Linked DNA regions of Caenorhabditis elegans. The protein of the gene in region 3 purifies or fractionates together with the protein of the main gene of each other region. This does not show direct contact. Each region holds a gene or a part of one and is shown on either strand. Other genes may lie near its edges.

Region 1 (6,418 bases), on a different chromosome or scaffold from region 3:
GTTCCAGATTGTCGAAACCCGAAATTTCAGTACTTTCAAACTTAAAATTCCAGATTTTCAAGTCGAAATTCGAATTCTCCATCAAAAACTACCCCTGAACCCGGATTTTCAGAGCTCTAGTGCAAAATGTCGTCAAATCGGGTGTTTTGGGTTACTGTAGCGTGGTGTTTGCGAACTTGGCACCAGATTTGACGGGATTTTGCACAAAAATTCTGAAAATTGTGGGTAGGGGGTAATTTACCACGCGGAGTTCGAATTTGAGCTTAATTTTTCGAAATTCCCAGATTTGGGCCAAGTTTTCGGTTTAAATTTTAGAAATTTCAGCCAATAAGCTGATTATTTCCCAAAATTGCCTCCTCAATCGGATTCCACGTTGAAGATCACCAACTGCTGGTAAAAGCAAGGCACAAAGCAACTTTTTGAAATTTTGGGCCTGAAATGGCCTGAAATGGCCTGAAACGGCCTGAAGTTCAAGTTTTTCGAATATAGTCGATATGGGTGTTAAATCAACACATTTTTTGCGTAGAATTCAATTTTTTAAGTAAAACAGCTTAAAATTGAAGAGTTTTTGTGAAATTTGAAGAAACAAATTTTCGAAAAAAATAATTATTTTTCATTTTTTTAACAAAAAGAAGTGAGAAAAATAAATTAATAGTAATAGTTATCTTTATGATCTTTGATGTCTCCAGTCATTGGTTGATCCTCAATTGAGCACCAATCCCTACCCCTGACCACTCGAACATATCCCGACTCAGCCCAATCGCCTCCCCAGGAGTTCTTGATAATCCAGTAGTCGTGACTTCTTCCACGGCTATCCTCAACGGTATCGTAACCCACAATTGCTCCGGCATGCCATTGAGTAGCTCTTCTACAATCGTCCTCAATGATCACTCCTTCTTTATATTCTTTGAATTGATCGCCGACTTTGAAATCTGGAATTTTTTTTTTTAATTTCGAGTTTTTTCGAAAAACTTGGAGTTTCTGCAGGTTTTCAGCTAGATTTTTGAATTACACGTTAAATTTGCAAAATTTTAACACCCATATCGACTATATTTCGATAAGTTTGGGTTTTGGGCCAATTTCAGGCCGATTCTAGGCCAAAACAGGCCTGAAAAGAAAGTACTTCATATTCAGCAAAACTTTTGAGTTGGTTATTTAATTTTCAAAATTTTGGCACCGACATCGATTTCGATCGGCAAATTTCGAGTTTCGGGCCGGTTTTAGGCCGGTTTAGGGTAAAATTGGCCTTGAAATGAAATGTTCCAAATATTTTCAAGTTTTCAATTGAATGGTAAAATTGTGACACCAAAACAAAAGAATTTTGAGTATTGAGCCGATTTCAGGCCGAAATAGGCCTGAAACAGGTCTTAAAATATAATTTACTGAAATATAGCCAAAATACTTGGCTTTTAATTGAAATTTTTTTTTGGTACACTAACATGGGCTATAGACTGAAAATTTTGAGTTTCAGGCCGATTTTAGGCCAATTTTAGGCCGTTTCAGGCCCAAATTTCAAATTTCTCCAAATATAGCCAATATGGATGTCAAAACTTTGCAAATTTTTAGGAGATTTTGAATTTAATAATTTCAAAACTCCCGGATGTCCCATGTCCCCCAGTTGGTCCCGCCGACTTACAGACAGCTACTGGGACCTTCCACTCGGTGAGCACCTGGATGATTTGTTCTTCGGCTCGGCGTGGGTTGATTACGGCAAAGTTGAAGGCTCTCTGAACAAAATTTGGTAGAAAATTAAAAAATTTGATTCTAAAAAAAGTAAAAATTTTGAAAAAAAAATTTTTGAAAAAAAAATTTTTTTTTTTGGAATTTTTTCAAATTTTCAAATTTCCAACTCACAGCCGGCACAATTCTGTCAGTTTCTCTTAAACGACATCTTCTGCCCTGGTTAGCCCGATTTTGATCGTAAGGATAGTCTTCATCTCCAGAAAGCCCATATTTCTTGACGTACTGGACTCCGAGGGTCAAGCTTCCTCCCTTACATCCCGGTGTTCCTTCCGTACCGCAATCACAAACCTCTTGGTCAGATAGGGACTGAAAATATTCAAAAATTTACATAGAAATTCAAAAATTCAGTGAAATTCTGAAATTCTGCCAAGTTTAACTGAAAAATTTGAAACTACCGTAACTTTGCCAATTTTTAAGATTTTTTTTAGTTTCAAACTGAAAATTGCGCCTAATTATATGATCTGCTATATTTGTAGTAGTCAATCATGAAAAAATGTCAGTTTTGAGGTTGTAAATGCGCTCCAATGAGAATTCTTACAAATTCTGTTGATTTTGACTAGAAAATTTGAAACATCCGTAAATAGGTCAATTTTCAAGATTTTCTTATTTTTAAAAAAGAAACTAGTGAAATAACATGTGATCTACACTAAATACATTGAAAATTTGAAAAAAAAAATTAGTTTTGGGCTTGCCAATGCGTTTCAATAAGAATATTTCAAAATTTCTCATTTTTTGACCCAAATTTGTGAAAAATCGTATCTTGGCCAGTTTTCAAGATTTTCTTATTTTTCCAAAAGAAACTAGTAGAGAAACATGTGATCTACATTAACTATGCACAAAAAAATAAGAGAAAAGTTAGTTTAGGGGTTGTAAATGCGCTCCAATGAGAACTCCTCAAAACTCTGTGTATTTTGACTAGAAAATTTGAAACATCCGTAATTTGGCCAATTTTCAAGATTTTCCAAATTTAAAAAACGTGTACAATACCAATTTTTGCAAAGTTTAATATTAAAATAGTCAAAGTCTAATAAAATTTAGTGTAAAAGCAGTAAACGCACTCCGCTGAGAACCTACTGAAAATTCGTTCAACTTCGCTTTAAACACTTGAAACTAACGTAACTTTGCCATTTTTCAAAATGGAAAACATAGCAAAAAATGTGATCTACGATATATTTACAGAAAAATAGAATTAAATTTCAGGCTAGAGGGTGTAAATGCGCTCCAACGGCAATGTTTTCTGTTTTCAAAAAAAAATCGAAAAATTCGAGTTTTCACGCCAATTTTTCACCGATTTTCCTCGAACTTTCACAGTTTTCATTCAAATTTTTCAAATAATTGTTTTATTTTTACCTTAAACTTTCCAGAATGTGCTGCATACACAGTCTCCACCAGTGCGGTGACCGCGAATCCCCAGCAACACGCACATTGCCCCTGATCCTTGATCGGGCCCACAATGTATCGCCCGTTGATTTTCTCGTTTCTCAAGTCGAAATAGTCTGGATAGCGTGTTGATCTACGCTTATGGCGTGTTTTATTCATGTCGGCCGCGCGAAAATCCGGTTTTTTCTTGTCGAAGTTGAGCATTGGGAGCCCTGTATTGTTGCTGGGCACTACATTGGACAAACGGCCGTGGAATTCGGCGGTGGATAGGTCAGAAAACTTGTTAATGCCAAATTGGGTGTCATATCCGGCTGCTTTTGACTTTGCGTTTAATCTGAAAAAAATTGAAAAAAAACCGAAAAAAAAAAATTTTTTTGAAATTTTTTTTCGAAATTTTTTATTCAAAAATTTCATTTTTAAACTCAAATTTAAAACATTTTCATTATGAAATTCGAAATCTACGCCTCAAATTACCCCTGTCCCGAAATTTTCAACGCTTTAGTGCAATTTTGCGTCAAATCTGGTGTTTTTGGTTACTGTAGCCTAGTGTTTGTGGACCTTACACCCAATTTGACGGAATTTTGCGCTAAATTTTTGAAAAACGGGGTTAGTGGTTATTTGCTACGTAGAATCCGAATTTCGACTCGAAATTTGAAAATTCTGAAGTTTGGGCCATGTTTTTTTTCACTTACTTATCGACATTGTTGTAGGATTTTACGAAATTATTGAATCTCTGCTGATTCTCCGACTCGTCCTTGTATTTTCGGTTGTACCTGTGAAAAATTATGTTTTTTTTCTCAAAAGTGGCTTAAAACGGCAACAATAAGATTTCTGAAAAATTTTAATAGAAATGTTCAATTATTTCTGAAAATCGAAATTTCAACACTTCAAAACCATTTTTTTTTTGAAAAATTATGTAAAAATTCGAATTCTCCACCCAAAATTACCCCTGCACCCTATTTTTCAACAATTTCGTGCGAAATGTCGTCAAATCCGGTGTTTTGGGTTACTGTAGCCTGGTGTTTGCGTACCCGGCACCCGATTTGACGGGATTTTGCACTAAAATTCTGAAAACTCAGGCGTAGGGGTTATTTGCTATGGGGAATCCGAATTTTTAATTGATTTTTCAAAATTTTGAAGTTTGGGCCAAGTTTTCGTTATTAAAAAAACTCACTTTTTTTTAAAATCCTCAAAAGCCTTGTAGAGCTTCTCCGGATGGTCCCGATCGATATTAATTTCAAAAAATTCGGGTTCTGTAATATTGATGGAAACTACCCCTGAAATGGGTAGAACCACCAGGAAAATCACGAAAACTTGCATTTTCGCGGCGAAATTTTGATTGCCTCGGGCTACGGTTGGCTTTTAAGCTTCCGAGTTTTATGGCCGAAATCGTAAAATTTTCCACTTTTTCGGGGGAAAAAGTTGGAAAGATCGGGGTGATTCTGCACATTTCGACATCGAATTTGTTGGGGTTCTTTTATAGATTTTTGGTGTTGACAGGGGGTTGAAAAATTAATTTATGAGCAAGTTATTGAAAATTTTGATTTTTTTCAAGCCTTGTTACATGAAAATTTGGAATCTTCATAAAATTTCCGTTTATTTGACCCCCATATTGGCTATATTCGAGGAAATTTGAATTTCAGACCAGTTTTAGGCCGTTTCGGGCTTTTTGGAGCCCAAATATCAATACACTCAGTTTAATGCCAGTGCGTTTGTAGTAATTTGCCAACTTGTATAAGGAACTACTAAATTGGTTATGTTTGCGGAAAATTGAATTTCAGACCAGTTTTAGGACAGTTCAGGCCGTTCTAGGCTTGAAAACAAATATTGACGGGTATATGTCGATAATTTCAGCAAACGTTTTTGAAAAATTTGAAACTGTGAAATAAAAGTTATTTAAAGGAAAGTTTTGTATTTCAGGCCATTTTCAGGCTCCGGGCCGTTTTTTGCCCAAAATTTCAAAGTTTGTAGAACATAGCCAATATGGGTTTCAAAACTAGGCAAATTTCATGAAGAACACGAATTTTGAGTTCATATTTCTCAAAATTTTACCGGGTGTCCCCGAATGTCCCATAGGTGTCCCATAAGTGTCCCACTCGTGGTTTTCAGGCTATATTTGTCAGAAGTTGCTCTTTTTTTACAGAAACACTTGCATAGATGTAGTTAAGCGTTTATATTGCAAATTAAAACATGAAAAATGGTTTAATTTTGAACGGTTCAAATATTTTTCCAAAAAAAATTTTTTTTTTAATGTACATGGCAATATTTTTTATATCATTTTTATGGATTTGACATTTACATCGGCTATATTTCAAGAAACTGGGCTTGTCGAAATGATTTGGACCGATTCGGGCCGTTTCAGGCCGTTTCAGGCCTGAATTTCTAGATTTTCTGGAACTGCGTTTTCACTTTTAGGTTTTTCTTATTACTGCAAAATTTCTACACTTACCTTGACCTAAATTCGTGGTGCTCATATTTCAAGTCTAGAACGGCCTGAAATGGCCTGAAATTGGCCTGAAATTCAACATTTCATTGTTATGCAAGTTAAATCAAAAGGCTGAAAATTATCTTGAAGTTTTAGGTGAAGAAAATCTATTTTTCAATAAATTTTGAGTTTCGGGCCAGTTTCAGGCCGTTCTGGGCCGTTTTTTGGCCAAAACGTCCAAATGTTCAGAGTATAATCAATATGGGTGTTAAAATTTTGCAAATTTTATGAAGAACACGAATTTTACATTTTTATTGTTTAAAATGTCCCCTGGTGTCCCCGAATGTCCCATAGGTGTCCCATAAGTGTCCCTCTCATGGTTTTAGGCTATATTTGTCAGAATTTGCTCATTTTTTTTACAGAAACACTTTAAAAATTGTAATTAAACGTTTATTTTATGAAAAATGCCAATTAAAACATAAAAATTATCAAAAAATTACAAAAAAAGTTTAATGAATGCAATCAGTGCCCTCTCCTGGGTATCTGTTAGCCAAATTGAGGGTTCCGATGTCGAAAAGTTGAGCTTCTTTGGATCCTTTACCAACTGCATTTTTTGGAACATGAATAGTCACTTTTTTTGGGCAGAGCTGAAAATTTCAAAATTTTTGAATTTTTTTTAAATAGGAAAAAAATCGAATTTTTTCAATTTTTTTCTCCAAAAACCTACTCCAGAATAGTTGCATTTATGATAAATATTGATTTTCGGGTCAATCTTGCGGATTTTATTCTGGGATCCCGAGACCTTGAATGTTCCATCAGCAATTGTTTTCACCGAGTCCATTTTCGTGTCGTAGACTGCAGAAAATTGTA
Region 2 (4,160 bases), on a different chromosome or scaffold from region 3:
TCCGGAACTTGTGTAGTATACCTGCCAAAGAAAGTCAATCATTTTGAAAATATAACGTGCCTTTTTTTGTCTATATTAGGCTTAGAATTAGTGTTTTTTAAACCTAAAAATGCATATTAATTTCACTTTTCGATTACCGTATGTTCTCTATTAGTATTGCACCCAAAGAAATTAGTCTTGCAGTCTCTAATAGTATTGCACTGAAAAGGTATCCGGAAATTAGTATCGCATGCAATACTATTAGAAAATATGCCGGAAAAAATTCTCGGCAAATTGTGGTTTCGCACTTTTTTTTTGGAAATTTCAGAGTTTCAATTTCAAATGACAAAATTGTACGCATCGTATAAATGTTCCTACATCTATTTTTAAAAGTAAGCTCTATGAAAATATGTAGAAAAAACAGAAAAAATTCATCCGTCTGTTAAAAAATCCCTTTAAAAATTTCCGGCAAATCGGCCAAAGGGAAAATTGCCGGAATTTAAAATTTCAGGTTTTTACCTAAATTAACTAATGTAAGTACCAATTTCCCTCCCAAGTCCAGAACTAAGCTCCCATCATCATTTTTATTTACTCCACTCTCACTTAAATTTTTTTCAAAAACTTGTATTTATTGCCTTCTTCTGTTATTCCTTACCTCGCTCATCACATAATGATTTCATTGTTTTACTTTCTATCCACTCCCACTGCAAAAATTGAAACCTTTTTCACTTTTTTGCTCGCATTTCCTTATTAAAATTAATAAAAATTTTTAAATTAAGCCCTGAACGCACACTTTATTTATAAAATCAAGGCAAAATCAAGTTCAGTTCTAATTCGATGTGGTTGTATTGGTGGTAGAAGTGCTGGCGTGTCACTTTCCAGAACGAGCGGCTTTGGCCGATTCGATTGGGTTGATTCTCTGAAAATTTTCAATTAGCTGTTCCCCAGCCGGGAATATCTCACCGAGTAGATGTATGTTGCTTCCGGTTCCTGTGTATCAAACTGGACCTTCTTGTCGGAATACTCATCATCCACTTTTCCATCACTCAGCGCTCGAGCACTCTCATGGACAAGCAACAGACTCCGAATCGTGTTGGAGAACACCAGCCCGGTCTCAAAGTGAACTTCATCTCTCTTCTTCAACTCCACCAACGGTTGTAGCTCGTTGAGCACCAGTTTCGTGGGGGGAATGCTTTTGAGACTGAGCTTCTTGTTTCGGTACATCTCCAAATGATCGGTACTCACAGTGATCGCCTCGTCGGTCTCTTTCTGAAATTTTTTAAAATTATTTTTCCTGAGACCTACACAAAAAGATAACTCACCATGTCATCGTCAGTTGGTTCTATTTTTACTGCCCAGGTGGGGACGTCCTGACCCTTGTACACATCTTGCTCTGGTTCCTTCTTAATGTCCTCCAATTTTCGAACGTGATCATAAGAATCCTCAACGGGAAGTAAAGACGTCTTCAGTTTCTTCTTTGAAGTGTTGGTACGGTAGAAAGTGGATGGCTCGTCGCACAACATCATACCATCGGGCTTATTCTTCAATCGATATGGTTTTTTCGGCACTCGATCCATCAGAAGCTTGCTTTTCGCATCGATTGGTTTCGGTTTCGCCGCCGACTTCTTCTTTTCCCTCAACTTCTTATAGACTCGCTCCGTCGTCTTATCATCCACCTCGTGATTCGTGACCTCGATGTTTTTCGGTTCGTTGAGCCGTGTCGTTCCGGGAACTGAAACAGGAAATTGTGGAGGTGTTAGGGTTTTGGATTTTCAGGTAGGTACAAAGATGCCTGCCTACCTACCTACTAAGGTAGGTAGGCATTTTAGTGTCTACCTAAAGGCAGAAGATGAACAGGCAAGCACAATTTTTTTGTTGGAATTTTTTTTATACGTCATTAAATAATTTTGCTTCCACGTGGACGTCGTGGATTTCAATGTTTCAAATTGATTTTTTTTTTTCGAATAAAAAATGTTTCAAGAGTTTCCAGAGGCTTTAAAAATTTTTCATAAGCTTTCAAAAATGTCTAGATGCTCCCAGAAGCTTCTGAAAATTTTTGGAATTTTTCAAAGTCATCAGACGTTCCAAAAACTTTCCAGAATCTTCCAGAAATTTTCCAAAGGTTTCTAAAACTTCCGAACCGTTTAAAAAACTTTCCTGAGCCCTTTAAAAGTTTCCAAAAAAATTTCAAAAAAAAAACACTAGAACTCACTGCGATTTGCATTAGGAATCTCATGATCTTTTACAGCTTCCGGTGCTTTTTCCTTGTAATTCACCGTTCTTGAATCATTTTTCCTTGCTATCAACATCTTTTCCGACTCTTTCGATTTATCCACCGACAAAGATCCACTAGTTGACTTAGTTTTTGTCTTCTTATTTTTACCATGTTGCTTCGACTTTTGAAGTTGTTGCTTTTTATGACTGCGTGCCTTAGATTTCTTTTTCTGAAATTTAATTAGTTCTGGAAGACGCCTGGAAATTGAAAATTTCGAAAATCACAACTTACTTTTTCGTTAATATTTTTAACTTTTCTTCTCGAGCTTTTTTTGGACAATTTCTTCATGATGGGAGAAGATGCAACGCGAAAGTTTCGAAATACAAAAATAATGAAAAAATTCAGAGTGGGGGTAGGGGATGTGATAAGAATCTTCTCGTATTTTTGAAGTTCACGTTTTTTTTAAATTGAACTTTTGGTGCAGTTTTTTGGAGTAATTTATTTTATTTAAATTAAAAAAAAACATTTTCTTAACCTTTCCAATGTACATAAGCACAAATGTGCCACTTGCCTGCAAGGCGACCTATGCCTTCAGGCGAGAAATATGCGGTAGAGAGGTAGAAAAAACGTATTCTGGTTTTGAAGATATATATTAATTTAATATTGCATAACTTTTTTCGGTTTCGCACGAAAATTTCTACACGCCTTTGAAACGGCCTACGCCTGCCTTTTGCCTACAGTAGATAGGCCCATAGGCAGGCAGGAAAGCCCAACTAGTTAAAATGTTATTTTTTAATTTTCAAGTTCACGAAAAATGTTAGTCTGCAGGCCACTAGAACCACCTACACCTGCCTCGTTCTACACACATTCCTAAAATAGGCGGTAGGCAGGCATAAAATTTCAACATTGCAGGAAAACATGCCATTGTTGTAGTTTCTCTTGAAATTTTCGCGCCGATACAAAAATGATAGCTGCCTACTAGGCGACCTGCGCCTGCCTCGTGCCTAAAATAGGCAGTAGGCAGGCACGTAGGCACTTTGTCCAGAAAAAAGGTTTTATTCACATTTTTTGGTGCATTTTCAAGAAAAATTTCTATATTTGAACTTTTCCTCTCCAAAAAGTTATAGTTTCCAAAAAACTTGTAGTCTCCATACCTGATAAGTCGTTCAAAAATCAGTGAGCATTCCCAACGTGTCATCGCCATGTGCTTCTCCCGCTCCAAATTTCTTATCTTTATTACTGGAAACCTCGGCTTCTCCCCCTCCGCCGCTGCTCCCGTTTAACATCAGAAACGATACGGCTCCGATGCTCCTAGGTCTTCTCGTCCTTTCTCTCGCATTTCAGGGTAGAGTTTTAGATTTACATTTTTGTGTTTAAATTCCAGGAAAAAATTTTCCAGGCACCCTCGCGGTGACAGAATGCGAGGAATGCAAGTCAATTGTGGACCTTTTGCAATTTGAGTGGGGAGAAAAGAAGACTGAAGAATGTGTTATGGAAATTGCGGTTTTTATTTGTGAAACGTTCCATATTGAAGATAATGATGTCTGTAACTTTATTATTTCGGATTTCTCAGTGAGACACATTAATATTTAATTTAATTTTAAAAATGTATTGAAAATCAAAGATTTCAGGACGAATTCATGTATGTCATCAAGCAAATTCTCGTGACTCCACATCAACTTTGCGGATTGCTTATGAAAAATGGTAAGTACTACCATGCCTAGGCACAAACATGCCTACCTACATGCCTACTACCAGACCGACGCGTAACAGTGACCCGCCGCCCTAATAGAACATGGGGTGCGGGGCGGCTTGAGAAGATTCTAGTAGACTGCCAAGCTGATCACTATCTTTCAGGCTAGTCACGCATGTAGGCGCGTAGGTAGGCACGATTGCATGCCTATTTGGAATTATTTCAGACTGCGGAGACTTCGTGGATCCATTGGCGACAATTTGGAACATGACG
Region 3 (6,055 bases):
TAAATAATTAGACCATAGGCCGTGCATTTAGGTGTATGAGGGATTAAATAATGGACCCCCCCCCCCCCCACTCTCAGAGACAGATGGTACTGTATCGTCTGTCAAGTAGGGGGGGGGGGGGTCAGCAATTTGACCCACTCGGATGAACTGTGATTAAGTAATGGATTTCACGAATGGGCAATGTGTTTTTCTGAGGAAAATGAAAAAAATTCAGAAGAAAAACATGCTAATTCAATAATCTTCCCACGGCTGTCAATTATGGGGACTGTTTTTTCAATATTTTGGAAAAATGAGACTTCGGCAAGTGAAGGGTTCCTATGTATATTGGGATTAGTGTACTGTCGGGGGTACTGTAGGGTTACTCGAGGGGGTACTGTAGTGGTGCTAGGGGGATACTGTAGGGGCTTCTGTGAGGTTACAATTGTGGTACTGTAGGGTTACTGTAGGGTTGCGGTAGGGGTTCTGTAGTGATACTGTAGAATTGCTGTCGGCTTACTATAGTGTTGCTGTAGTGTTGCTGTAGGGTTACGGTACAGATACTGTAGGGGTACTGTAGTAATAATTTAGGATAACTCGAGGGGTTCCTTAGTGGTACTGTAGTGATAATTTAGTAGTACTGTAGGCCTATTGTAGCGTTACTGTAAGGGTATCATAGTGGTACTTACTCGATGGAGTACTGTAGCATTACTGTAGGGTTACGGTAGCGTTTCTGTAGGGGAGCTGTAGTGGTACTGTATGGTTACTGTAAGAGTACTTTAGGGTTACTGTAGGGATGATGTTGGGGTACTGTAGGACTACTGTAGGAGTAGTGGGACTGAGACGATAAATTCTTAATTTTCTTCAAGTGGTTTGGTCAGTCACCCATACATCCCGAGAAGTCTATTCCATTTCCACCTGTTTCAATGTAAAAAACTCAATTTAAACATTCAAAACTTTATTTTTTCTACTCAAAAATCAATCAATCAGCTTTCTGTGGCGACTTTGCAGGCGAAGCACTAGTTGGCGTACGTGCTTGTGGTGGACGGATGCGTGGAAGAACCGGTGCACGGGGGACCAGGTCTCGACGCGAAATCACACTGCAGGCTTCGATAAGGACTGAAAAATGAATATTGTAGGTTTAAGGTAGGCACATGGTAAATAAAATTTCGAATCACTAAAAAATTGTATCAGTAACCAGACAACAAACAAGAGATTATCAACGGATTTAGTACTGAAGCCTCTGAAAAAGAAAATAGAAAAATCCGGTTGTTTTGCTACCAAAAAAATACGTTCAGGATAATTTTTTCGCTGAAAAAAGGGGAGAATTATCGATTTTCTCTACCTGCAACAATTCCGGTAGACGGTTTCCATTGATTTTCCTCCAAAAACAGGAATTTCATATTTTTATCAGTTTTGCAAGTGATCGCCGGCGGCGAGAACGGGAATTTCGGCGGAATTGCGACGGTTACGATGTACTCGGTGTAGGGCGGTCCGTACTGAAATTTGATTATTGATTTTTTTTTTGCGTGGCGCCGCCGCTCTCACCGTCTTTAGAGTCACGTCAAAGCAAGTTTTCGACGGCGGCGGCTCGAATCTCACCGCGTAGAACATTCCAGAACCCTCGACAGCCGACGCCTGGAAAAGAATTAATATTTAGAAAATACATCGATTTTTGTTCTGAAAGTAGGGCTCCCATGAGGTCGCCGCATGAATAGTGTGGCGCGGAACCGCAAACATGTCGGCCGCTACCAAATAGCCGCTCCACACACACAGCGGCGCGCGGTGTCGGCGTAAGGCCGGCCGGATAGGGCCAGAGAGGGGCCGGCGTGAAGCCCGAATTTTGCGCCTCACTCAGTTGGGAGCCCTGGGAGCCCCATTTGAAACATTTTTAACTTTCCCAGAAATTCTCGACAATTTTCTGAAAACCTGTCGGTTTTTTTATTGATTTTTCCCCAAAAATCAATAAACTAGAACGCTAACTCACCACGACGCTATCGATCCGTTTTTCGCAAACTTTTTGCATTATTACTTTGAAATTTTCGTGAAATAAATGTTATTCTGGTGTTGGTTGTGTTGTTTTTTGCCGTCGACAGTGAGTTTTCACGTTTTATCGATTTTTTCGAGCATTATCGATTTATCCCGAAAAATCAATAAACTGGAACGTCACGATGCTATCGATTCGTTTTACGCAATCTTTTTGCATTATTGCTCTGAAATTTTCGTAAAATGAATGTGATTCTGGTGTTGGTTGTGTTGTTTTTCGCCGGCGACTGTGAGTTTTTCATGTTTTATCGATTTTTTTCGGAAAAATTATCGATTTTTTTAATTTTCAGGTGCAAAAATCAGAAAAATTATTGATTTTTTGGAGAAAGATGCTCCGAATGATATTGAAAAAACACCCAACTATAATGAAGAAAGTCTGGCGGTGAAAAGGGTAAATTATCGATTTTTGCGATGGGGCGCGTTTGCATTTTTATGGAATTTAAATATTTTTAGAACAAAAACTTCAATCCTTGTCTGGAAAATCCGAAAATTTGCTCAAATCGGGGAAAATGCTTGCATGAAAATGGAAAGTGAGAGTTTTTGCCAACTTTTCAGATTAAAAAGGCAATATTTTCAGCTTCTATTGCATTTGCCCGGTCACACATTACGGAAAAACGTGTGAACACGTGTCAGATCAAACGAATTGCGAGAAACACTTGTGTCAGAATAATTCTACGTGTGTCAGGTTGGAAAACATTCGTTTTTTTCTGTGAATTTTTATGGCAACTGTTTCGGTGTACACAAGTTGTGTCTATGCCCTCCAGCCGTTAGTCGCCGGCGGAGAGATGGCCGAGCGGTCCAAGGCGCTGGTTTAAGGCACCAGTCCCTTCGGGGGCGTGGGTTCGAATCCCACTCTCTTCAGTTCTTTTTTTCCCTTTTTTAAATTATCATTACCTCTGTTTCAGCATCAAAAGCCTGCGGACTATTGTCAATACAGTTCTTTTGAGACAAATTCGTGTCCAAAGAAAAGTAAACGGATCCAAAGCAGCTTTAACAAATGAAGAATTGGCTGAAATCGATTTAGAAGTGAATTACGAGTGTATATGCCAAAAGGGGTACTTTGGCGGGTTATGCGATGAGTCTGAAGCAGATCGAACTTGCCAAGAAGTGTATTGTTTGGGCAGAGGCAAGGGAGCAATTAATGCGACTGGAAAATGCGAGTGTGAATGTGAAAATCAATTCTTTGGAGATAGAGTGAGCGTTTACAACTTCAGAATTTCTTCTGAAATATGTTTAAATTCCAGTGTGAACAAATATCAGCTTGCTTCGACACTCAATGTGATAATGGTGGAATATGTGAAGATGTGGTAGATTGGAAGGTATTTTTTTCAAGATTCGAGAAAATATTTTATCTAAACATAGAAAAACGTAAGCCCAATGCGGGGCTCGAACCCGCGACAACCAGATTAAGAGTCTGGTGCTCTACCGACTGAGCTAACCGGGCGGCGTTAACTCTTACAACAGAGGGTCTAGAGAAATGTTGGGTAACAACGAGACTTGATAGACAGAACAAAAAGTGACCTTCAAATTACACACCTTCTATTTCAGACCAAAACCGTCACTGCCACCTGTAAATGTCCTTCTGCGATTGAACTTATTGGTGGTACTGTAACAGGTGGGTAAAAAAAAAAAAAAAATATTTCAAATTCTGTGAATTTCAGAAAAATTTCAGGTGAAAACTGCGAAACCCTTCAAATTCCTTCAACAGCCCCCAAAGAATTTATTCCATGTGCCGAGGGAAGTAATTCGACGATGTTTTTTAAGAAATTCATCGCAAAGTAGGAAAAGTTTATAGAATGGTTGTAAAACTCACATTTTCAGTATTTCCTTGGAATATATGGATGACATTTCGGAGTTGGAAGCAATTAAAAATGACTACAATGATGGGAAGAATGTCAATGGGACGATGACTGATGGATGGTGTAGAAATGATGGGAAGTGTGTACCTGAAGTTGTTCGAGGTAGGAAAATTCAATTACCACAATTCTCCCGGTAACTCAACTTTTTTCTAACACCTTTTTGTCAGTACGTTCGCCGCCCGGTTAGCTCAGTCGGTAGAGCACCAGACTCTTAATCTGGTTGTCGCGGGTTCGAGCCCCGCATTGGGCTTACGTTTTTGTAAAAATTTTTAACACCGCGCTAAAACGTATGCACAAAATTCTGGCCTATGCCTGCCTTGTTCCATTCTCATACCTAATGTTTCAGTGAACAGCTCCCGAGCCTACTACATCTATCGCTGCGAATGTACCAATCCTCTCACCGACGGTTACTATTGTGAGTACAAACGCCATGACTCTTGCTCTTTGACTCGAGAGGAGGTGGCTCGCGGGGACCGGTGGGACGAAAAGTGCACGGATTCTCAACACGGAGCATGTGTGGATATTAGTGGAGTGGCTCATTGTGTGTTAGTGCACCTACCTGCCTGCCTTTTACCTAGTAGCCCTAATTTCAGATGCAAGCCGGACTACACCGGCGAGAAATGCGAAATCTTCGACCCGTGTGCTCGGCAACCTTGCAAGCACGGTGACTGTATCCCGGTAGGCACATCGAGGCCTCTGAAAATCAGCGAAAAAATTTCAGATACCGAACACTGCCGACGTGGCATTCGGCACAAGTCGCTATCAATGCTTATGCCCATTATCCGCAAAGTTGAACCCGGAAAGCCAAGCCTGCATGGAAATTAACGAGAAGAAGTGTGCTCCCGGAGCCTGTGGCAACGGACGGTGTGTTCCTTGTGAGAGGTAAGAGATTGCCTTTGTACCTACCTACCTACCTACCTACTTTAATATTTTCAGCGATGCCGATGACCTGATGCCTCTCTGTAACGACAATGACAATCGCCAGGGATTCCGATGCCTCTGCGAAGCCGGGTACCTTCCACCGTTTTGCAAAGTCCATACAAACCCCTGCTACCAAAACCTGTGCCAGAACAGTGCCACATGCCATATCGACCCAAAGCAGCGGAGTTATGAGTAGGGCTACAAACTACAGATACTGCAAACTACAGTCGTTCTTTTCAGCTGTCAATGCGTCAATGGGACACGTGGCTCGTTGTGTGAGAATGTGGATGACTCGTGTGATGCGTTTGGTAAGTTAGAAGCTTCATGTTTACCTGCCTGCCTACCGCTAAGCCTACAGGAAACAAAATCTGCGTCCATGGAACCTGTATCAATGATGAGTACTTTCACCGGGGCTTCTCGTGTGAGTGTGACGACGGATTTGAGGGTCTCGACTGCAACGTGGAAATCGCCTGGTCCAGTGTGATGACCAATCGGCTTATGGTAAATTACTCAAATAGTTTAAAATATAATATTTCTGCGTGTTTCAGAAGAACTATGAATTTTCGTTGCCACTGGTTGCGTGCTTCGTCTCGCTGGCTATTCTTCTGCCAGTGATTGTGATCAGTAGACGGCGTCAGGGAAGAGTAGAAGAGGCGAAGAAAACGTCAGAAGTGAAAACTGAGAATCCATAAAGACATTTTTTTTTAATTAATTGTTATTTAACATCTATAAAGCTTTGCAAATATCAGAAAGTTTTGCTCAGGAAATGATCGGTGACACACGGATTCATATTTACGGCGCATTGCGTGTCGCGTCGCGGCTCAATTTTAGCTGTAAAACTAAATGTATTTGTCCGTGTCGAATACACGACTGTCCCACGCGTTGTCCGGCGGGCGATTGCCAATGTAGCGCTCAAATTTCAATGAGGCACGTGTAGTCAGAAAGTCCCATTTCGCTTTGATCTACGAAAAATGCGAGAGGTGAGACGCAGGCATCTCAACTGATTTCGCATGGTTAAGAGTGTGCTGACATCACAATTTGTCTGGAAAAAAATTCCCGCATTTTTTGTAGATCAAACCGCAATGAGACTTTCTGACGCCACGTGATGAGGAAGGCCAGAACCCCGTGGTGCTAGTCCCTCTCTATTTCTCACTATTAGGGGGTCTGCATGGTAGGCAGGCATTGATTCAGGTGGCAGGTCTATCCTGATACCTACCTGACAACCTGCCGTAGGTCTCTTTGAAGGTAGGCAT
Region 4 (7,002 bases), 3.2 Mb from region 3:
GAACATAAATTTTTTTTGACCACAAAAAAAGGGCGAAACCAAAATGTTGAAACTCTTCTAAAATGGTTAATTTTATAGCTAGGCGACTCAAAATTTATCTCCAAACAATAAAAAATTGCCTTTTTTCAGAATATAGTGGTTTTGCACACTTTGAGAAAAATTATTTTTTTGCCCAAAATAAAAGAAAAAGGACAGTCATTAGATGGCCGAAAAAAAATTTTCAGAAAATCTAGGTATAACCCATCAAAAACTATTAAAAAATGGCAAAAATGGGCAATTTATGGCAAAAATTCACAACTTTGAAACACATCTAAAATGGGCAATTTTGAAGTTAGATGACTCTAAATTGATCTATAAAGACTAAAAAATTGTCCATTATCAGAATATAGTGGCTTTGAACATTTTCAGAAAACTTTTTTTTTTGCCCAAAATAAAAAAAGGACAGTCATTAGATGGCTGAAAAAAAATTGGGCAAAAATCAAAAGGTGAAAACGGGTAATTCATACACGCTGAATTCAGAAAATCTAGGTTTAACCCAAAAAAAAACTATTTAAAAGTGCCAAAAATGGTCAAAGCTTTTATTTTCCGATACAAAATTTGCTAAAAATTCCATCTAGAACACTTTCAGTGACAATTCCCTCGGTGAGCTCTCCGATTTGTTCCAAGGCAACTTCCAGATGTGAACACATGATTGCTGCGTCGTTACACGTTACAGCTGACTCCAATTCGAATGAGCATCTTCTGAAATTAAAACAACTTTGAATATTATTTTTTGACAAAAAAAAACCTTAACAGATCTGCATCTAGTAAATAACTTGCTTCAGGACACAGATCATCTACAATTTCTCCCAAACAGTTTTGAAGTTGTTTGCAGCCAGTATCTGTGGTAGCATTTGTAGATACAGTAGTGAAATTTGAGGGAAGTTTTGGATACTTCAGACTCAGATCAGACTTATTCTTTGCAATAATCACACGAGCTTCGCGATTTCGCATCACTTCCACGTCATTCAAAATCGATTCAACATCGTCATCCGACGTGAATTGTGGATCCACGACAACGCAGATAATGTCAGCTGATTGGATTCGTTTTTGAGCACGTCGAATACCTTCTGCCTCAATGACGTCATTAGTTTTTTGTCGAACTCCAGCAGTGTCTGTGAGACGGCATCGAACTCCGTTAATTTGAATGATTGTCTGTAAGATTTTCAATTAATGTTTGGAACATTTTCCAGGCACTCTAGGAGTACTGTAGGATTACCGTAGTTTTCGAAAAATTGACTTTTCGTCTTTTGAGCTACAAAATTGCCCGTTTTAGAGAAGATTCAAAATTGTGAATTTTTGCTATAAATTGGCCATTTTTGCCACTTTTTAATAGTTTTTGACGGGTTAAACCTAGATTTTCTGAATTCAACATACATAAATTACCCGTTTTCAACAAATTTAGACAACTTTTTATTTTTGCCCAAATTATTTTCAGCCATCTAATGACTGTCCTTTTTTTTTATTTTGGGCAAAAAAATAATTTTTCTGAAAATGTTTAAAACTACTATATTCTGAAAAAGGTCAATTTTTTTATAATCCTAAATCAATTTTGAGTCCTCTAGCTACAAAATTGCCCATTTTAGAGAAGATTCAAAATTGTGAATTTTTGCCATAAATCTGCCATTTTTGCCACTTTTTAAAAGTTTTTGACGGGTTAAACCTAGATTTTCTGAATTCAACATACATAAATTACCCGTTTTCAACAAATTTAGACAACTTTTTATTTTTGCCCAAACTATTTTCAGCCATCTAATGACTATCCTTTTTTTATTTTGGGCAAAAAAATAATTTCCCTAAAAATGTTCAAAACTATTATATTCTTAAAAAGGAAAATTTTTTTAATGTTTGCAGATCAATTTTGAGTCCTCTAGCTACAAAATTGCCCATTTTAGAAGAGTTTCAAAATTGTGAATTTTTACAAAAAATTGGAATTTTTGCCACTTTTTAAATTTCAAAATTGTGTGTTTTAGAGGAGTTTCAAAATTGATTGTTCAAGGGAACGTGGCTAGGGTACTGTAGTAGTACTGTAGGGAATACTGTAGGATTACTGTAGGGTTACTGTAGTTGGAGAAAAACTGGTTTTTCGTATTTTGAAGGGTTATTAGTTTGGTGTTAATAGGGGGATATGATTGGAGTACTGTAGTAGTATTGTAGGGAATACTGTAGGATTACTGTAGTTTTGGAAAAACTGATTTTAGTTTCAGAAAAAAAAATCGCAAAAGAAAATTTGATTGAAATTTTTTGGTTAATTTTTGAAAAATTTGAAAAATTTTAACACTTCAATAGGTTTATATGATCATTTTTACTTCCAAACTATCTCTCGTGGTTCCAGGAATCGAGCTAACAATTGCCACGTCATCATGCGCTAACTGATTTAAAATGCTTGATTTTCCGGAATTCGGTCTTCCATAGAGCACAATATCCAATCCACGTTGAGCCCGTTCTGCACCATCCCACGCTTTGATCATTCGATTGAGTTCATGAAGAATTTCAGAGACATCTTGTTGAGCTTCGCGTAATTCCAAGTTCACGTGTTCTCCAAAATCAATGATCACAAATAGTTTCGATAGAATTTGAATTAATTGCTTCCTGAAATTGAGAGTAAATGTCAGGGGTATGCGGCACGAAGTTTTTGTCGACAAATTCAGCAAATTGGCAAATTGCCGGTTTGCCGAAAATTTCAATTCCGGCAATTTTCCGATTTGCCGGAAATTTCCAATTCCGGCAAATTGTCGATTTATCGGTAATTTCAATTCCGGCAAGTTGCCGATTTCCCGGAAATTTCCATTCCAGAAATTTGTCGATTTGCCGGAAATTTCAATTCCAGCAATTTGCCGATTTGCCGGAAATTTCAATTCCAGCAATTTGCCGATTTGCCGGAAATTTCAATTCCAGCAATTTGCCGATTTGCCGGAAATTTCAATTCCAGCAATTTGCCGATTTGCCGGAAATTTCAATTCCAGCAATTTGCCGATTTGCCGGAAATTTCAATTCCAGCAATTTGCCGATTTGCCGGAAATTTCAATTCCAGCAATTTGCCGATTTGCCGGAAATTTCAATTCCAGCAATTTGCCGATTTGCCGGAAATTTCAATTCCAGCAATTTGCCGATTTGTCGGAAATTTCAATTCCAGCAATTTGCCGATTTGCCGGAAATTTCAATTCCAGCAATTTGCCGATTTGCCGGAAATTTCAATTCCAGCAATTTGCCGATTTGCCGGAAATTTCAATTCCAGCAATTTGCCGATTTGCCGGAAATTTCAATTCCAGCAATTTGCCGATTTGCCGGAAATTTCAATTCCAGCAATTTGCCGATTTGCCGGAAATTTCAATTCCAGCAATTTGCCGATTTGCCGGAAATTTCAATTCCAGCAATTTTCTGATTCGCCGGAAGTTTTCAATACCGACAAATTGTCGATTTGCCGGACATTTCTATTCCGGCAATTTGAAAAAATGTATTATTGAAAAGCTCGTACGATATCATAAGTTTTAATGAAATTTTTAAAAATCCCTATAAATCTTTTTTTTTCCTTTTTTTTTTAAGTTTTTTTTTCCAAAAATTCCAAATCTCGAGGGATTTTTTTGTTTTTTCAAATTGCTTGCGAACAATATAAAATTCCAATTTTTCTCACTTCAATACCTTATTTCAATAGCTCGAACTCCACCACGCATTTGACCAAATGCCGCATTTCGTTCTTTTTCGGTTCGAGATTTAATTAGCCGATCGATTCCTCGAACCTCGGAAATGCTCAATTTTCCGTTGTGAAATGCTCTGTAAATTAACTAAGAGTTATTATAGAGACCCAAAATGTGCATTTAAATGCATTCAAAATATTTTGAAACAGATGTGCAAGCGCGCTCAACTGCGGAAAGTTTGGAATTTTTATTCGGCGGCAAAACCAAAAACTCTAATGTTATTTTGTTTTCATGGTTAAATGAAAAATTAAAGCACTTTTGGACATTTTTTCAACATAAAATTAATTAATAAACGACAGGAAACATAACAAAAATAACGAAAACTTATTGAAAACGTTCGAAATTACGGTTTTGCAGCAGCCAAAACCTAGCGAGACCCAACTTTTAGCCGTGGAGCGCGTTTTAACCAGGGGTGGACGGCAAACAATTTTTCCGGCAAATTGGCAAATCGGCAAATCAGCAAATTGTCGGAATTGAAATTTCCGGCAAATCGGCAAATTGCCGGAATCGCCGAATTTGTCGAAAAAAATTTGCCGAACGGCAATTGCTGCCCATCCCTGGTTTGAACCCCGATTTTTGAAAATCGTATGCTAATAATAACCTCCTCGTGAATTCTCCTCGCTTCGCTTCTCGAACATTTTGAATTCCAGCCAAACATGAGGCAAACTTCACGGCCACGGCCTGACTTCCATGTAGAAAAAACTCGGCTGTGTCTTCTCCGGTAAACGTTTTCGGGCCGGGAAGATATACCGCCATTGCTTCATCGATGATTTTGCTCTCTGAATCGTACAATTTCGTGTATTTCATCGTTTTCGGCTTCCAAACTTTTCGACGGCTCAGCTGGCGGAGTACGGGGAGGCTTTGTGATCCTGGAAAAAATACTGTGAATACTGTGAACAGTAAGCTCAGAAAGCCTTTTTTTGGGGGGGGGGGGGGTTTCGCAAGAGCATCGTACGAATTTTTTCAGAGATTTTTATATTGTTTATGGCTATTTTGGCAGAAATTTTTTCAAAATGAACCATTCGTAACCTAATGGAATTTTTTTTTTCAATTGTTCTGAAAATTAACCTGAAACGCGGAACATCGCAATTGCGCTTGGCAATGTGCCAGACGATAGGGCGAAGATTGTCGACATTTTCTAAATGCCTGAAAAAATTATTCTTTTCCAATTAAAAAAAAATTTGATTACTCGAAAGGTTCTTTTTTTTAATTTCAAAATTTTCACGATCTTAAAAAAATGTTTGAAAATTTAATAAAAAACAGGATCCGTGACAATTTTTCTGGAAAGAAACCGAGATTTTATGAATATATAACTTAAATTTGAGAGAAAAAAGTTATTTATTAAGCATTCAAAAAAAACCCCGTAATTCGATATAATTCAAAACTAAAACAATTAATTATTAATTACACAAAATCTTAATTTCAATTGCTCTTCACATTTCTTCAAATCAGGAATAATCCATTTCGAATCACTCAAATACTTTAAAATCGTTGGTGGCAGAGGAGCTGTTTTGGGTGTCGGTGGTTTTTGTTGACTCGTTTTCAGGGTAAATCGACAGAGGTACTGTAGTGATGGTAGAAGCTCTCGTTTTGTGAGTGGACGTGTTAAATTGACACGCGCTGCTTCGGCTTCATGTCCACGTCGATAGTGGAGCATTTCTTGTTGTCCTGTTAGGGATTGCTGAAAAAAGTTTAGTGTTTTTTTCCGAAAAACTACGATTTTTTTTGATTTTTGAAACATTAAATTATTTTTTTGCTTGAAAAACTCAGTTTTTTTCGGATTTTTGAAAAAAAAACTAATTTCTGAAAAAACTGAACTATTTTCTTTCGGGAATGTGGTTTTTTTTGTGAACAAAAATGGTGATTTTTTAATTTTTTTCTGCAAAAAAGTGAATTTTTTTTAGAACAATCGATTATTTTTCTCGTGATTTTTTTTTGGTTTTTCGAAAAAAAAAGGATTTTTTCTCGATTTTATGAAAAAAAATGGTTGTATTGTGTTTGATTTGTTTTTCAATTTTAATTTTTAAAATTATGTTCCGAAAAATTTTTTTTTGATTAATACTCTTTTTTAATTTCTAATTTTGAGAAAAAAAGGACATACTTTCGGAAAATTTGAATTTTTTTAGTTTTCGAATTTTTTAAAAAGAAAAATAATTATTTTCACTTAAAAAAAATAGTTTTTTTCCGTTTTTCGGAAAAATAATTTGCTTTTAAAAAAATATATTTTCGATTTCCGGAAACATTTTGGGAAAATTTCGATTTTTTTTAACTCTTCGAAAAATATTTTCGACCTTTTTGGCCTGTCACAATTTTTTTTTAAAGTTTTACTCTTTTCCGATTTTTTTAAAATCAAAAATCATAGATATTTTTAAATGTACTACATACCTCTAAACTTCTCTCAATAATTTCCACAAGATTCCAATAGTCACGTGAGACGTATGGCTGCCGACTACCCAAATTCCGTCGTGAATCTTCAAGTGACAAGCGCGAATGATAGACTCTATCTGAAATTATATTTATTTGGAAAAAATTGATTTTTTGAAAAACAATACCTTGAAAATGATAAGAAACAGTGAAAAGATGAGTTTCACTTCGACTGTCTCGAATTAAAAAATATCCGATTGGGCACAAAAGGAGCAGCCGTTCTGCCCATTTCCAGTCCAAATCTCCCCAATACCTGGAATAAAATAGGCATATTTAAATCTTTTTTCAGTTATTTTATTGTTTACCAATCACAATCGTAAAGATCAGAACAAATCACCTTGTTGGAGGGCATAGGAGCATTGAAGGAAACTTTTGTTACTGAAAATAGTTTCAATCTTAACAAAATTAATTGAATTTTAAAATTGAAGATTGTCGATTTACGGAAGTCGTGTACTCCACGAGGAGAAGATTATGATCCGATTCTTTCCGAATTTAATGTTCAAATCGCAATTATATCTCTTTTTCAAAAAACCGTCGCTGTTTCCAGGCGTGGGCGCCATATATTATTAAATCAGCAATTATTTTGCATGAAAATGGAAATTCCCGGCAAATCGGCAAATTGCCGTAATTGAAAGATTCCGGCATATCGGCCAATCGACAAATTTGTTTGAATTTAAAAAAGAAGCCAAAATCCAAAATTTAAGCAAAACATGCAATTTTGACCAAAACCATTGATTTTTCACTTATCCTCGGGGAGTACACGAGCTGCGTAAATCGACATTGTACAGTGTTAGGGGTCGAGATATTGAAAGATTTTTAATCTTTAAATTGAAAAAAAGAT

Evidence for each region.
Region 1: the proteins of spe-9 (region 3) and Y51A2D.8 fractionate together in Caenorhabditis elegans (co-fractionation; one large-scale study listed by BioGRID). This does not show direct contact.
Region 2: the proteins of spe-9 (region 3) and W03G1.2 fractionate together in Caenorhabditis elegans (co-fractionation; one large-scale study listed by BioGRID). This does not show direct contact.
Region 4: the proteins of spe-9 (region 3) and mtcu-1 fractionate together in Caenorhabditis elegans (co-fractionation; one large-scale study listed by BioGRID). This does not show direct contact.

Annotation. Positions count from the first base shown.
Region 1 is NC_003283.11:18,549,404-18,555,821, forward strand, and holds Y51A2D.8 (Cysteine proteinase), read right to left. Parts: upstream 4,448-6,418; 5' UTR 4,444-4,447; coding exon 4,298-4,443; intron 3,897-4,297; coding exon 3,816-3,896; intron 3,458-3,815; coding exon 3,094-3,457; intron 2,050-3,093; coding exon 1,855-2,049; intron 1,728-1,854; coding exon 1,637-1,727; intron 933-1,636; coding exon 649-932; 3' UTR 600-648; downstream 1-599. Other genes in the region: ttr-24 (TransThyretin-Related family domain), read right to left, coding at 6,058-6,195, 6,276-6,403.
Region 2 is NC_003282.8:523,079-527,238, reverse strand, and holds W03G1.2 (Ribosomal RNA-processing protein 8), read right to left. Parts: upstream 2,588-4,160; 5' UTR 2,543-2,587; coding exon 2,486-2,542; intron 2,424-2,485; coding exon 2,192-2,423; intron 1,712-2,191; coding exon 1,302-1,711; intron 1,249-1,301; coding exon 943-1,248; intron 899-942; coding exon 851-898; 3' UTR 748-850; downstream 1-747. Other genes in the region: Putative sphingomyelin phosphodiesterase asm-3, read left to right, coding at 3,500-3,539, 3,594-3,766, 3,826-3,898, 4,114-4,160.
Region 3 is NC_003279.8:11,582,198-11,588,252, reverse strand, and holds spe-9 (Sperm transmembrane protein 9), read left to right. Parts: upstream 1-2,183; 5' UTR 2,184-2,205; coding exon 2,206-2,251; intron 2,252-2,312; coding exon 2,313-2,413; intron 2,414-2,475; coding exon 2,476-2,552; intron 2,553-2,599; coding exon 2,600-2,707; intron 2,708-2,796; exon of another isoform or gene 2,797-2,895; intron 2,896-2,927; coding exon 2,928-3,216; intron 3,217-3,266; coding exon 3,267-3,341; intron 3,342-3,393; exon of another isoform or gene 3,394-3,466; intron 3,467-3,570; coding exon 3,571-3,637; intron 3,638-3,694; coding exon 3,695-3,800; intron 3,801-3,843; coding exon 3,844-3,983; intron 3,984-4,052; exon of another isoform or gene 4,053-4,142; intron 4,143-4,227; coding exon 4,228-4,426; intron 4,427-4,474; coding exon 4,475-4,559; intron 4,560-4,602; coding exon 4,603-4,763; intron 4,764-4,817; coding exon 4,818-4,994; intron 4,995-5,042; coding exon 5,043-5,110; intron 5,111-5,160; coding exon 5,161-5,303; intron 5,304-5,350; coding exon 5,351-5,494; 3' UTR 5,495-5,510; and 1 more. Other genes in the region: C17D12.5 (UBC core domain-containing protein), read right to left, coding at 959-1,095, 1,322-1,475, 1,525-1,614, 1,964-2,002. UniProt on the Caenorhabditis elegans protein: Required for fertilization. May be required for cell adhesion and/or function as a signaling molecule.
Region 4 is NC_003279.8:14,770,125-14,777,126, forward strand, and holds mtcu-1 (TrmE-type G domain-containing protein), read right to left. Parts: upstream 4,884-7,002; 5' UTR 4,873-4,883; coding exon 4,806-4,872; intron 4,607-4,805; coding exon 4,339-4,606; intron 3,814-4,338; coding exon 3,682-3,813; intron 2,632-3,681; coding exon 2,349-2,631; intron 1,195-2,348; coding exon 788-1,194; intron 742-787; coding exon 579-741; 3' UTR 565-578; downstream 1-564. Other genes in the region: F39B2.5 (SH2 domain-containing protein), read right to left, coding at 5,131-5,418, 6,123-6,241, 6,290-6,414, 6,467-6,513.